Caenorhabditis elegans: one gene and its partner. The protein of the gene in region 1 interacts with the protein of each later gene in a pairwise test. Each region holds a gene or a part of one and is shown on either strand. Other genes may lie near its edges.

Evidence for each region.
Region 2: the proteins of smu-1 (region 1) and ptps-1 interact in a two-hybrid assay, tested with the Caenorhabditis elegans proteins (one large-scale study listed by BioGRID).

The regions. Positions count from the first base shown.
Region 1 is NC_003279.8:12,993,868-12,999,103, reverse strand, and holds the start of smu-1 (Smu-1 suppressor of mec-8 and unc-52 protein), read right to left. Parts: upstream 3,302-5,236; 5' UTR 3,216-3,301; coding exon 3,187-3,215; intron 3,100-3,186; coding exon 3,033-3,099; intron 2,980-3,032; coding exon 2,836-2,979; intron 2,540-2,835; coding exon 2,140-2,539; intron 1,148-2,139; coding exon 1,023-1,147; intron 176-1,022; coding exon 1-175. Other genes in the region: nlp-15 (Neuropeptide-Like Protein), read right to left, coding at 3,969-4,001, 4,053-4,196, 4,683-4,877. UniProt on the Caenorhabditis elegans protein: Involved in pre-mRNA splicing as a component of the spliceosome. Selectively regulates alternative splicing of unc-52 exon 17.
Region 2 is NC_003279.8:4,651,412-4,654,513, forward strand, and holds ptps-1 (Putative 6-pyruvoyl tetrahydrobiopterin synthase), read right to left. Parts: upstream 1,496-3,102; coding exon 1,343-1,495; intron 1,291-1,342; coding exon 1,159-1,290; intron 913-1,158; coding exon 775-912; 3' UTR 734-774; downstream 1-733. Other genes in the region: ain-2 (ALG-1), read left to right, coding at 2,116-2,131, 2,187-2,275. UniProt on the Caenorhabditis elegans protein: Involved in the biosynthesis of tetrahydrobiopterin, an essential cofactor of aromatic amino acid hydroxylases. Catalyzes the transformation of 7,8-dihydroneopterin triphosphate into 6-pyruvoyl tetrahydropterin.

The DNA of each region.
Region 1 (5,236 bases):
GAACAGCACAAACTCCTTTCGTGTGAGCTCTATCAAATCTTCGAAGACAATCACCAGTTTCCACTTTCCAAACTTTAATTTTTCCGTCAATTGAGCCTGTGGCGAGCATTTCAGAATCACGACTAAATGATATACATCTCACTGCTGCATCCATCATCATTAGATTATCTTGGGCCTGAAAATATTGAAAATTGTTGGAAAATGAATGTAGATTTTTTTTTGTGCTTTTTTGGTAGGGTTACTGTAGTTTATGAAAAATTGAGGTGTAAGTTTTTGAGGAGGTATTGGGTTGGGAGCTGGTGGGGGGCAATGTTCAGGTACTGTAGGTATACGGTAAGGTTACTGTAGTTTGGAAAAAGTAGATTTTTTATTAATTTTTAACATGAAAATTGTAATTTTAGAGTAGTTTATATAAATAAATGGTGGCAATTTTAATTTCTCAACATTTTCGATTAGTCACTTTTTTAGGTGGCATTTCCTCAAAATGTTGAATTTTTAAGCTAAAAATTGTAACTTTTCTTTAATTTCTCAACATTTTCGTTTATTTACCATATTTTACGAAAATTTTAATGTAATTTCTCCAGAATTTTGAACTTTTCCAACCAAAAAAAATAGATTTTTGATTTGTTTTAATGCTTTTAAAATGACAAAATATGAATTTCTGAACATTTTAAATTATTCACTCTATTTCAGGTGAAATTTCCGAATTTTGTGGCAATTTTAATGGGATTACACCGAAATTTTGAAGTTTTAGATGAGAAAAACTGATTTTTTTTCTAAATTCAAGAGTGTTTCCATCCAATTTTTTATAAAAAATTTAAGAAATTTGATGTTTGTGGAATTTTTATTGCAATTTTGAAATTTTACGCAAAAATTTCGGTTTTTTTGCGAAAAATGCGCTTCCAAAGTTATTTTTCTTCCATTTTGTGGAATTTTTGCAATTTTTCTTCAAAACAATTCATAAAAACCCTAGATTTTTATGATTTTCTACTTCAAAAACCCAAAAATTCTAAAAAATCTACCTGATATTTCAAATCCTTTCTCAATTTTCCATTCATATAATTCCAAACTTCGATAAATCCGTCTTTTGAGCCAGAAACAAGATAATTAGCGTCCGGTGAGAAAACTGCCGATTCGGGATAACTTTCTGAAAGAATTTAGGGTTTAAAAATGGAAAATTTGATATTTTCGGTAATTTTTGGAATTAAATCATAGTTTTTTAATTAATTTTCTAAGATTTCAGGCGATTTTTCATTCAAACCCCCGTTTTTCTTTTAAAAAACCCATAAATCCCAGTATTTTTCGATTAAAAAATCAATTTTTTGTTTAAAAATCCCTTTATCTAAAATTTTGACAAAAAATCTCTAAAGTTCAGAAATTAATTCAATTTTCAGATTTTCAAGTGGTTTCACTCGAAAAATTAGATTTTTCAATGTAAAAATGCTTGAAAAATTCAAATTTGATATTTTAGAAAGTGGTTGACTGGCTACAAAATACAAGTTTTTGAGTTTTTTCTGAATTTTTGTTGAAAAAATACAGACTTTAGGTCGGATTTTTAGATTTTCGAATTTCAGTGCAAAATTTTGAGTAAAAAAAACTTAATTTTTTAATTTTTAATTTTTAATTTTTTTTTTTTTTTTTTAATTTTTTTTTTTTTTTATAAATTTAATTTCTGAAAATTTTATAAATTTAATTCTGAAAAAAAAATACAATTTTGGTCCAAATAATAGTAAATTCGAAATTTTACTCAAAAAATCGAAAATTTAATTGATAGAGGCCTAGACTACAAACTACGAAATTCAAATTTTCTGGATTTTTTTCAAAAAAAAATATTGTAAAAAAATTAATAATTAAGGTCGGAATTCTAGATTTTTGAGAAACCGCCAATTTTTATATTTATTTTCGAATTTTAGGGCATCATTTTGCAATTTTTGATTCCTAAAAAAATCCTTTTTTATAGGAAAAAATTGAAATTTTACAATATTTTCTAATCATTCACGCTATTCTTTGAACTTTCACAATGAAAAAAATTCCAATTCTCAGAAAATAGGCTCAGAAATCTAATTTTAAGTCGGTCAAAGCTTAAAAAATGCACTTTTTAATCAATTTTTCAAATTTTAAAGCAATTTCAATCCGTACTCGTTGAGAATTTAATGCTTCTAGCCATCATAGTCGGATATCTTTCTTCAATTTGCTCTTTCTGTGCAGCTTTTCCTCTAAATAAATCAATTGCAGTTCCAGGTGGAAGAAGTCCTTGATGAAGTTGCCATTTAAGTGATTGTCCAAGTAAACTCAAAAGTCTTGACGGAGCAACTACATGAACTTCTGATGAAAGAGTTTGTGCAATTACGGAGCGTCGTTTCTCTTTACTAACATCTCCATAAACCTCTTGTCCATCGAAATACGGGCGGTTGATAAGAGATTCCAGGCGGGCGAATCGATCCGGATCAATTTGTTTTAGCAAAATCATTGGATCAGTCTGACGGGCGACGAGACGGGCGGTCGCCAGCTCACGGAGCTCCACAAGCTCGATTATTACCTGAAAATTTGAAAAATTTACGAGGAAATTGTTTTTTGTACTAAATTTTCAGGAAAATCTACAATTTGAGCCGAAAAGGTGAAATTTTATTTAAAAACTGCAAAATTTGGGGTTAAAATCTGGCAATTCTGAAGAAAATTCGCTTAAAAACGCGATTTCAACGTAGTTTTTGATTTTTTTTTTTTTTGTTTTACAGCGTGAAATAATGAATATTCAACAATTTTTGGTGAAAATCCCGCGAAAAATTCAATTTTTCAAGTAAAATCTCGGTTTTTTCCTTCTTTCCCATATCTTACATGTTCATACAGATCGATAAGTTTCTTGGCGGGTAATTTCAACGATTGAACGGTTTTCAACACGTTATCCCAATTTCCAGACGTAATTTCATTACAAAATCCATCAATTGAGTCGACTGTATTGAGCGAAACGTTGGTTTCTTCCTGAAATTATCGATTTTCTTTCATTTTCCCAGTTGAAAAATGCAGGAAAATACCTGCAAAATCGCCAGAGTTCGGTGCAAATTCGATTCTTTGAGGAATTGTTCGATGAGACGGATTACACTGAAAATATCGAGGATTAATGATTTTTGGGTTATTTTAAATGAATTTTTACACATTTTGAATGAAAAACTTTTTAGATAAACTTACTCTGAAGATTCGATCTCAATCGATGACATTTTCAGCGAAAATTCGGTGAAAAACGGCTGAAAATGACGTGTAAAATTCGAATATCCTCGGACACGAGAAGTGCGCCAGCCTTTTTGGAAGCGATCGGCAAATGCGCCAGCACGAGCGCTTGGCGTGTTTTGCGTTTTTGGAGCGAATTTCAAATTGGAGTTTTTTGTGGACTTGCATTTGTGTTTAAACTCTTTTTTTTTCAGAAAATATTTTTGCCTGAGATTTTTTTTCATGCACAGTTACAAAAAACAACAGTTTATCCGTTAAAAATCGATAAAATTCCAGAGATTTTTGCTTGACTACGTTAGTTCTCAAAATCCACAGTTTGCGTACAATGCATTTTATCAGCACGTTTTTCTGTTTTTTACAATTGATTTTTTTCCAGCTCCATTTTCTTCAATAAATATGAAAAAACAGGACGACATTCTTTATTTTTTTAAAATAAATTCTTATTCTCACACACGCACACCGGTACTTGTGTTCGTATGAATAGGTTTTTTGAGATTAAAGTATAAAATTTGAAAAAAAAGTTTGAAAAAAAAGGAATTATAATAAAAAGTGTGTGAGCAGGGGCTGTCGTCAGGAATACTGGGGGACTGGGCTTGTGTGTGTCGTTCGTTGGAGCTACCTGAAAACAAAAAAAAATTATTCCAAAAATTTCACTTTTCATTTGATTAACAACATTAAAATCAGTTGCTTACCTCAAAAATATGTGCTTGAATTGAACCAAATTTTAAATATCAGTGAGCTCTTCACAATTTGAAATCGTCAAAGCCTGACGTGCTCTGAAAATTATTGAAAATTCGAAAAACTGGAATTTCCACCGAAAACCGTACCACTGTATCAAAGGCGCGTTTCTCAAATCCAGTAAAACCTTGTCCAGCCAGTGAATCGAAAGCTCTTTTGTCAAAACCGCTGAAGCCGGATCCGGCTAGCGAGTCAAAAGCGCGTTTGTTGAACGCACCGAAGCCACTTCCCGCCTGAAAAATTTGGAGTTGTTTGGAGAGGAAAGACTACAAACTACAAACTACAAACTACATTTTCACCAAGAGCTTAACCATATGGGCACGTGGTGCCAGGCTGTCCTATTACGGTTTGATCTACAAAAATGCGGAAATTTTTCGCGCAGAAAAATGTGACGTCAGCACATTCTCAACCATGCAAAATCAGTTGAGAACTACGCGTCACTTCTCCCGCATTTTTTGTAGATCTGCGTAGATCAAACCGAAATGAGACACTTTGAAACCAAGTGTAGTTTGTAGCATGAAAAAAATTGTTAAAAATCTGGACTTTGCTCAAAAACCGTTAGAAATATTTTTAAAAATTCGTCAATTGAAAAATGTTTGCTTCAAAATTTTAAACATTTTTAACGAACTTTGGAACAGCTTTTTCTAATCGATCACCGAAAAAAGTTAGGCAGTAGGCAGACACACACGCCTGATGGCTTAAGGCCACCTTCAACTCACCAATGAATCAAATGCTCTTTTATTGAATGCTCCGAAACCTGAACCAGCAAGACTGTCGAATGCTCGTTTGTTGAATCCATTATCAAAACCACTTCCAGCTAACGAATCGAATGCTCTTTTCTCGTGAGGTCGATTCAGGAAGAACAATGAGCCAACTGGACGTAGTCGGACAGCTGCACTTTCCACTGTGGACATCTGGAATTAAAAACTATTTGAACCTTTTTAAATGTTAATAAAATAACTAGTTTTGCCTAAATTATATAATGTAGAAAAAACTAAGTTAGTATACTATTGATGCAGTATTACAGAATTATATGTCTTGAATTCAAATAGTGCTCAGCTAACACAGTTCTGTAGTTTGTAGTGTCTCCCTTTCACCCTCCACCAGGACCCCCCTAGCCATCCCAATATCAACGAGGGGCCCCCCTACACATGTTTATGTCTATGTCATCATGATGCCTGGCGAGTTTGTTGGCACTTTGTAATTGGAAAATTTCGTTTGACGCACTTCTTCGCTTCCCCGTTTTATTTCGCGTCATTGGACACGAGATGTG
Region 2 (3,102 bases), 8.3 Mb from region 1:
GTAAGAAGTGGCTAATCAATGGGTTAACCGTGAATCCGCGGATTTTTCATGAATTATGATTTTCAGACAAGAAATTGATCAAAAAAATGCATATAAAATCAAGAGAATTGCAAAAGAAAAACACCAAAAATTTAATTATTTAATTATCCGAGAGGAGTACACGGATGTGCACTGGGGCACGCCTTTGCGCGGAAATTCAATTTTCAATTTATTCATTTTTCAATCAATATGAGAGTTCGGATTTGAAAAACTAATTCCACGTGTAATTTCAAATTTTCAATACAAGAGTTTGCAGTAATTTTAGGTGAAAATACAAAATTATAGTTTTCAAGTTTTCTAAAAATTCACATTTGAAAAAAATGACGAAAAAATGACGAAAAAGCTTGTGCAAATTTGGCTCCTTGTGTGTGTGTGTGTGTGTGGAAGGTGCGTATGAAATAGCACTCTAGTCACGAGAGACACAGATAATGAGTGGGGAGAAAGCCGAGGAATATAGTGGGGCAAAAGACGGCAAAAGAAGTGAAAAGGGGAAGTGTAGTGTGGCGGCGGAAAGAGGACAGTGGAATTGGAATAAACAGGGTTTTTGTAAATGTTGATGATCAGAATCTGCTGTTACAACAACACATATAGTTATTTTTTCCGGGCGTTTGTCGTCGACAGTTTCGAAACAATTAATCCGATTAAATCTAGACTTTTTTTGGAAACACGCTCTATTGCTAAAAGGCTTGAAAAATTGGTTTTATGGTTTTATTCAAAAACTATTTATTTCAGAAATTAACATCCTTTATAAGTGAAAATATTCTTGGGTGTCTCCTCAATTGTCACTTTATACAAAACCGATGGATTCGACATTACGGATTTCAGCTTCTCGAACATATAAATTGCCACGTTTTCAGATGTGCTCACAGTTGTCTGAAATTGGAAAAAAGTATTTATCTTGGTTTTGAAACGCGAAATTGCGGTCTTGGGTCCTTCCGAAATTTTTTATGATAACAAAAAAAATTTAATTTAGATTTTTTTCAATAGCAAAATTCTCGAATCTTTTAAACAAAAAACATTTAAACCATACTAGATGGTACTGTAGCTGAAAAGTTTCGCTCGTGCCAAGACCCACACTTTGAATAGCATTTTTAATGACGCATAATCTGTCTACAGTACCTTAAAAAATTCCACGTCTTTATCCAAATTCCTGTGATCTACCGTATCCAGCACTAAACTCATTTCTTTTTTCAGCTTTGCCAGGTCATACACCATTCCACTCGTCGGATCAACTTCTCCGCGGAGCTTTACCTGAAATTTTTCGAAATTATTTTTATTTTATTAAAAAATAAAATTTTTAAACCTTCCAAACATAATTATGTCCATGACCATTTGAATTATTGCATTTTCCAAAAGTTTCCTTATTTTCAGCGTCGCTCAGCTTTTCAGAGTGAAGACGATGTGCTGCGGAGAACGAATCGACTCGTTCCATAGTTACAATTGGCATTCTGAACATTCAAATAATTTATTTTATTAAAAAAAAGAAAAAAATGGAGAAAAATGGAAGAATTATGTGTGTTCAACGAATAATTTATATACTGGCGCTGGTGTTTGCAAATAATTGATTACAATTATGATATGATTGTCATCGTCTCTCTTTTCAACTAATCATCTTATTACGACAGCAGGATTATAGTTTCTGCATCAAAATACGCAATAATTTCAAGCGAAGGATTACTGTAGTCGTGTTAAAATTTTATATTCGGAGAATTTTGAAATTTTAAATAGAAAAAATAGTGCAAAATATTTATTTTCAATTTTAATTAGGTGATTTCAAAACAATGGACTGATATTTATTAAGTTTTCACTCAAAAAGCAAATTTCTGTGCCTGTAAACTTTTTCAAATCGAGGCATGCGCCTTTAAAAACTACAGTAACCCTTGTCCGCGAAAATTCGAAATCAAATTCATATTTCATCATTTTCACTCATTCTTCTTCGTTTTTGTGCATTTTTTTTCCGAATTTTCGATCAAAATTTTGATTTTAAACATTATTTTTAAACATTCCGTATCTTATTTTCAGAAAAATCACAGCAAGACGCGAAAAAAACAAATTTTAAAAGAGTTTTGCGTGGAAATGCACGGATATCAAGGTATTTCGTCAATATATTTTCGCTCAATTAATTCTAAACAATAATTATTTTTCAGGCAATGATCCGAATTATCGGCGGCAACCTCCCTATCGCCAATTACACGTTGATACACGATCTCCGTCGAGTTACTCTCAACAATATGTTGTGAGTGAAATTTTAAAAAAATCAATTTAAAGTCATCATTAACATGAAGAAACTGTTGATTGGGCACAAGTTAATAAAAAATAACTAAGAAAACCAGAAGATGACGTCATCTGACCGTTCTCCGCACTTTTCATGGTCAATCTCCGATATCAAGAATTCTCATCTCATAATGTCTGCCGTCTCTTCAAAAATCTACATTATCTCATACATTGTCCTCCTAGAAGGTGTCGTTGTGGAGGGAGGGGAAAACGAGGGCGCCCATATTGTCGGGCGCTCCTTGAATAAAAAATGTACGTTTTTTTGTGCAGACTCTCCACGCTTTGCTTCTCCTTTTTCTTCATATTGTACATATATACGTATATTTAATGCACAATGTCTCTGCGTCTTGGTGCCCTTCGTCGTTTTTTTTTTCGCTGGAAACCACCCCAGGAACCGCCACCGCCACACCACTACACCGCCCGTCTTCTTGTTCATGTCTCTGCGTCTCGTGTTTCTTTCTCTCTCGCAACGAACTCTCTATCGATTGGTCATGTCGACCTCCGTCCGTGTCCTCCGACTTGGGGTCCACTTTTTGTCTGCGTCGCGTATTCTAGCGTACTGTGTCACTGACACTCTTTGTTTCTTATTCCTCCACGTCTCGATCAGTGACAGGGACTCTTGTAGTTTTGGAATTTGATTTTTTTTAATTCTCGGATTTACGAAATTTTTCGTTGATGTTTTTGTTTGAATTCGAAAACTCCACTCAAAAAACTATTTTTTTCTATTTTGCAACTAAAAAACGGCCAAATTATTTTGAATAACCAATAGGTTCCACCATTTTGGCATAC